2 linked regions of the Xenopus tropicalis genome follow. The protein of the gene in region 1 interacts with the protein of each later gene in a pairwise test. Links are inferred from orthologs where the notes say so. Each region holds a gene or a part of one and is shown in the gene's direction. Other genes may lie near its edges.

Region 1 (3,500 bases):
GAAGTGAGTGATGGAGATGTTATCATTAAAACAAACAAAAATCTCTGCTTTGTTAACACCATCAACTTTACAAACATCTTTAGAATACCGAAACAGGCAAGGATAATTGAAGACAACAAAAGTCCTGAGCAGTGTGGTAAGTTTCCTTAGATATCAGGTGTAATTTGTGCCTTATGGTATGTATGGGCTGGGAGACTGGCTTCTTGTAAAGTTTATGGCAGACAGAGTAGATCATGGCATTCAGATGTCTACACATGTTTAGACACTGCTTAAAGACTACAGTGTTGGATCACTGCATTTTGAGTAAAAAAATACTAGCCTCAACTGTTGAAGAGGATTTTAAGGTCAGAAAAATGCATTGATTTCTTAATTGAATGTATTTTATTTATATTTGTTACAATTACACATTGTATTTTAAAAGATAATGTGTCCTTTTATTTTTATAAATAATTAATTAATTAATTACATAATTCATAATATATGGATCTGCTATTACTACCTCCATTAGTAAAATGATTGGTATTCATTGCTCAATGGCAGCCACCGTCTGTCCTTCCTGAAATCCCTATTCAAAGATTGGGCTCTGCCCAGAGCATGATTATGAGCAATCTACAGACCCATGGTTTATAAAAGTGAAATGTATTATTGTGGCTTATTTTTTCTGTAGGTTACCATAATCTAGTTTTCTGTGTTGGGTTTTTTAGAAAGTGAAGGCAATGTTTGTGATCCTTTGTGCTCTGAGGAGGGATGTTGGGGACCTGGGCCTTTTCAATGTGTTTCCTGCCGTAAATATATGCGTGGAAGGGAATGTGTAGAAAACTGCAACTTTCTTAGTGGGTAAGTTCTTTTAGAATTCTACCTCAGTAATGGGCTAAATGCAAGATCGCACATATAGCCTGTCACAACTCAAAAGTGCAAAGCATGATGTTTCCTGCAGATGCACAATTGCACAATACCTTTTATAAACTTTTACATTTAGTATAAATATTATACTGTTATATTCTGCATAAAGTACATTATTTATTGGTAGAACTTTTTATATACATTTGTACATAAATTTGTATGCAATGTTTATTCAGTGCCCAGTGACACTCCAAAGATATTTACATCTCAATAGAACTTTATTTATATTTATGTGTTAAGGAAGAAAGAGGTTTTATTGGTACACATGTAGTAAATGTATATAATATACACACATATATGTATGTATATATATATATATATTTTTTTTTGTTATTTCAAATCCCCTGGTATAACGTTGAACTTATCTTTACTTTTTCTCTATAATACTGAGGGCATAAGCAGCCCTGTACTTTGACGAGTGTATTGCATATGTTTTAATGTGTGACTGTTTCTTATATGCCTACTAGGGAGCCACGAGAATACACAGAAGATGGCAAGTGCTTTGCCTGTAACGCAGAGTGTTTACAGCTGAATGAAACCCAAACTTGCTCGGGTCCTGTAAGTATATAATATATGTGGTTGGTACCAGGCCTGAACTAGCATTCAAAATAGGATCTGGCCCAAACAACCCCCACCAGTCCAATAGTGACTCTCTATGGCATCTTACAGCAGCACCTCTGGTATTTGCCAGAATCCACAGATTGCGAGTTTTGGCCTAGTTGGTACACTGGAACAGCTGGCTTCATGTAGTCTTAGGGCTCTGGCACACGGGGGAGATTAGTCGCCCGCGATTAACTCCCTGTTCGCGGGCGACTAATCTCCCCGAGTTGCCTACCCCTGCCATCCCACCGGCGAACATGTAAGTCGCTGGCGGGATGGCAGACGCGAAAATCGCGAGTCTTTTTCGGCGATTCCCTGAAATTGCCCCGCCGCGTCTGCCATCCCGCCGGCGACTTACATGTTCGCCGGTGGGATGGCAGGGGTAGGCAACTCGGGGAGATTAGTCGCCCGCGAACAGGGAGTTTTATCGCGGGCGACTAATCTCCCCCGTGTGCCAGAGCCCTTAAAGAGCTTGCTTACACAAAATCCAGCCCATGGCAGTCAATAACAGCAATTGACTTAGAAAAGATAGGTTAAAGGGAAAATTGTGTTTACATAAAGAACCATACAATGGTTAAAGATTTTTCCTTATACCATATACATACAGCAACAAGAGATCAAAAGGTTTAAAAAAAATCTTGAAATTTTTGTATCATCTGGATGAAATAAGATACTTTCAAAATATAATTATTAAAACTGAAGGACCATAATTAAGTTACTTTTCACTAAGCCCTCACAGCAATCTTTCTTTATACTGGTGGGTTGTGTATCAGTTAGGTTTTTTAATGGACATTTAGCTGGAATTCTTCACTGCGACCCCTCTGCCTTGCTAATGTATTAAACTGACTCACAAAGAGACCTTCTGAGAGAAGAAAGTGACAAGTAATTTGATTACTCCAGAAACATTGCACAATTTTTAACTATGTATAAAAAGGATGGTATTTCCAAAATGTGTTACATTTTGGTTTTAATAAGAGCTCCCCTTGAATTGTACTTTATTTGAAAACACCACTACTGATGAGGTTAATACCAGGAGGTGGTGAAACATTTAGTTTAGCTGTTAAACCAGGGGCATAACTATATAAAGCAGACCCCACAGGGTGGTAGGCAGTGGGGGGGCCAGGTCCGTAAGGTCTGTTGCATCATAGTGCCCCCTATCCAGTCCCTCTTCTACCTTATGGATACGGCCACACTGGACTGAAGAGAATCAGCCTCTATGCTCTGAACAGGCTTTCCGGGTGTGTGCAGTCAGAGCCACTTCGTCAGCCCTGGTACAGGCACATAGAATGAATTTCACTGATGAAATGCATACTCGCAACTTGTGGTACCAAAATCCACACTGGGTTTCTAATCCTGGACTCAGGCAGTGGCTTGGGGTGCAGGCACAGATGTAGGCTGATGTCAGCATACAAGCCCCATGTGACTTAAAGGAGAATGCAAGTCAAAATTTAAAAAGCATACTGCCCAATAGTCCTCCTATTGTTTAGTAAAAACGCCACACTTTTGGCTCACCTAATCAAATATTTACTCAGTCACACTTACTTCACATTTTCTAGAATAGGCAGCCATCTCCCTTCCTTTCCCTCCTTGCTTCATACTGCACATGTGTTTCATTCCCTCCCCCCTCCCCTCTGCCAGAACTGCTTCTGATTGGCTGGTGGGCATGTGTAGCTCAGAACAGCAGACAGGATCAAGTTACACACATGCTCAGAGAATAGGAAGGCTGCCGCTGGCAGCCTACAGGAAGGACAGAGAGATTTCAATGATGTCACTGTAGTCTTCACACTGCTGTAGGCTGCCAGCACCATATCTCAGAGAAGCAAGCAGGGATCTGGGAATTTAGATATGCAGTAAGTACTTAAAAAGAATGCCTTTAGACTTACTTTTAATTTATATTAACCTTTCATTGTCCTTTAAGCCAAAAACTAGACGTAAGTGGTGAGCGAGCCAGGAGGGGAGGAGGGACTGTTCATGCTGGGCCCCTCTGAAGATTTTTT
Region 2 (3,500 bases), on another chromosome or scaffold:
AATAGTGAAAGGAGGGGTGACTGCAATTATATAATTTCCCCCCTTAGTCAAATAGTAGCTGGTTAAAAATTAACAGCAGCCCAAGAGCAGAAATCAGAATTTGGGTCTTGGAAACTGATTATTATCTAATGATGTTAGGCATTCTTTCCCCTTCTGATTGTTTAGTGTTTGTATAAGGTCAGTTATATATATTTTTGACCTTTTCACTTGCCTGTCCTGGAAAATAAAACTATAATTGGGCTGTAATAGGGTTTGAATAATTTATCGCTTTGTTTAATGGTTGGGCTCTGAAAGGATCACCACAATCTATTAACCTCCTAGCTTGAAGCAATTGCAAATTAGTCTATTTGGTTACTGTCTTAACACCCTGCACAACATGCCTTGTGGAATGTAAAATGGTCTGTCATTGAGCTCTGAGGTTAATGTTATTAGTCAAAATTGTGTTCTACTGCTATACAGTACTACTGTACTACTACAGAGCTAGTAGTAGCAGCTACTCACCATAGCTACAAAAACAGACAATGCGGATCATTTACTGATAATTGTCTCTACGTGTGTTTTAGCAGAGGCAATTCTCAGTATTGTCTGTGGCAGAGTAATTTTCTGGCGTTTAGTAGCCGTGACAAGTAGCTGCTACTAAGCAGCTCCGTCTGTCTTCGCCCTTAGAAATAGCTGTTTCGGTGGCCAAAGCACAGAATTGAGAGATATGTACAATTAGGGGGCTAAGTCAACCCACATTGCATAGCCAGTTATTAAGTGTGGTGAGGAAAGTAAAGGAGGTCTAGTAGTGACTTCTCAACAGAGATAATAATAGCTCTTGTGTATTATATCTTAGTAGAGTTATAATACACAAGAGCTATTAAAGGAGAAGGAAAGTCATTTTGGCATTGTACTGCCAATAGATTCGCCATATAAGTGCCTTAGAACGCTATATTTATTTTGCAGAAAGCATTACCATACCTGAGTAAACAACCCTAGAAGCTTTCTCTGTTTGAGATTGCAGCTGACATTTTAGCTTGGTCTTCATAGCTTCCTTGCAGCTTAGTCATTATAGCTCAGACTACACATTCCTAAGGGAGGGGGAGAAAACTGCGCCCTGGGAAAGAAGGAAAATAAATCCTGTGTTTCTTTTGATAGAGGACTCAGTTCAGCTTTTCTATGAGTGCTTATGGCTGTATTTACATAGACCTTTCTGATAAAGCTTACTAGGTTTTTACCTTTCCTTCTCCTTTAATATGCTATAAATTATACCCTTATTATATACAAGAGCCATGAATATCCTGTAAATTATATCCTTATAAACGGTGCTTAGTGATGTCATCAGTTATATAATTAGAAATTACAGTACTAATCACCATCACATGACTAACTTGTGTATTATAATTATTTACCCCTGTTGTAAAAAACGTGGATATTAGAGGTCACCAAGGAGGTCCATGACCTGTATAAAAGCACTCGGCCTATAGACAGTGCTTGGTGATATCTTGGGCTCTGAAATTTGGCTTTGTCAGGCTCTAAAATACAGACATGTTATTATGGACCTTGTATGTTTCCATCATACTGCTTCTACTCAGCACAGACGGGGTCGAATTTGATATGGTATGAACCGGTTTAACCCATTAGCTAATCCGCTAGTGCACATAAAAACTGAGGTTGATTCCAGTCTGAATCGCACATTTTCTTTGACCGCCATGTTTTGTGTCTAATTATAGTGTCTCTGCAAGATATTAACATGCGCAAAGCGTTCAAGAGTTCGACCACACAGGACCAGCAGGTCGTCTCAAAGAACAGCATCCCGAAACCGGTCATTGATATATATAGAACGTGCGACAGACCTCCTCCTCTCGATATACTTTCAGCATACAGGTTAGTAGTGTGCGTCTTGATTGTGTTTCCCAGTTCTACCAAACAATCCCAATCATAAAAAGACATTTGATTTTAACATTCTCCTTGAGTTGAAATTAGAGTAAAACCTATGCTGGCTGACACCTATCATATCACTCCCTACAGGCAAACTTAAGCTGGGCATACATGAAGCAGATCACCCACTTTGCTCTGCTTGTGTTGTTCACCTAGGCGGAGGTGTCCTGTGCTGCTTGCCTATCTTTATTTATAGGCATGGCATTGGGGTGTGTAGACTACACAGAGTGGATATCAATGCAGAAACGCAAAACTATGCATTTTTCTGCTTGGGTGAAAATGTATTTGGCCTGGGATACGAGGCATCTGAAGTGAGGAGCATACACTGAAAATTGCACTTACTTATATTTGTAAAAAGTGTTTGGGTGAAAAATGCAGTCTGAGGAAAGCAAGAGAATTTGTTTTTTTGCTGAGTTCATCAACAGAGCAGAACTTTGCCTGATTTGGCCACCGACATGCCCCTATGCCAATAAGCCAATCATATGGGAGGACTAGGGAGACCTGCCAATGTGGTCCTCGCTTGGTGGGGTTTTCTAACCCATCTGATAGATATCTTGATAATCAGAAATCAGTTGGGCAAGCAGTCCAAGGGACTCGTACACAGTCCAATAAGCTGTCAAATCGGTGTGGAGGGGTTGAGACAGCAGCTTTTATCAGCCCACGTATAAGTGATGTGCTGCTTAGGAAAAACTCAACCCACACCCTAACTTGCAAAATGTTGCCATTGTAGCACAGTCACCAGGGACCACATAAAACAGCCAGAAGTGCCGTATTCGGCCCCCAGGCCTTGTATTTGACACGTGCTATAAGCCATTATTAGAGTATCAGAGCTGATAAAGTAGATCCATGGCAGGTATGAGCACTGCCATATTTGCCAAATAAACACTGATCCTTATGTAACAGAGCTTGCAAGTGATGTAAATATTCACCTTTATCTTTTTAGAGATGACAAAAAGGACAGCTTAAAGTTCTACACCGATCCGTCGTACTTCTTTGACCTCTGGAAAGAAAAAATGCTGCAGGACACGGAAGATAAAAGGAAAGAGAAAAGAAGACAGAAGGTAAGAGTTGTAAAAAGTACCTGCTAAGTTTCCAACATATGTCGCAATAGCATGGAAACCGGACCTACTGTGCAACCGAATGGTACTTATCTGTCCATTTCTGCACACGCTGTTAATATAGTATTAGTTGCCTAGCAACACCCAGTCAGATTTTTGGACATTCTTAGCTGCCTGCCTTGTTTTTAGTGCACTAGCCGTGCATGCTGTGTATGTAACTTGGCAAGAACTGATATTATTACATATGAAGGTATGCAGTAATACACAAAGATACGCTACACTGACAGATCTGCCAGCTATTTTTCATTAGATGTGCAGTTATCTCTTTTATTTCTTCACTCTATTCATATATGTAATATAATATATCATGTCAATTTTAGCGTTGCTTGGGAGTTGAGGCATTGCTCTTTGCACACATATGGCCTGCATAATGTTTGAGTGGCTAAAAAATGAGGATTTCTGGTGATTTGGCTCATTTTAGGAAATTGGTTTATCAGCTAGCCTAGAATTGCATGGGCCTTT

Evidence for each region. The genes of interacting proteins can lie anywhere in the genome.
Region 2: the proteins of egfr (region 1) and wasf3 interact in a protein complementation assay, tested with the Homo sapiens proteins (3 studies listed by BioGRID and IntAct, with this or other methods). The link is inferred for Xenopus tropicalis from reciprocal best matches to the Homo sapiens genes EGFR and WASF3.

Annotation. Positions count from the first base shown.
Region 1 is NC_030682.2:56,863,676-56,867,175, forward strand, and holds part of egfr (epidermal growth factor receptor), read left to right. Parts: coding exon 1-136; intron 137-704; coding exon 705-837; intron 838-1,370; coding exon 1,371-1,461; intron 1,462-3,500. UniProt on the Homo sapiens protein: Receptor tyrosine kinase binding ligands of the EGF family and activating several signaling cascades to convert extracellular cues into appropriate cellular responses.
Region 2 is NC_030678.2:155,678,455-155,681,954, reverse strand, and holds part of wasf3 (wiskott-Aldrich syndrome protein family member 3), read left to right. Parts: intron 1-1,712; coding exon 1,713-1,866; intron 1,867-2,863; coding exon 2,864-2,981; intron 2,982-3,500. UniProt on the Homo sapiens protein: Downstream effector molecules involved in the transmission of signals from tyrosine kinase receptors and small GTPases to the actin cytoskeleton. Plays a role in the regulation of cell morphology and cytoskeletal organization.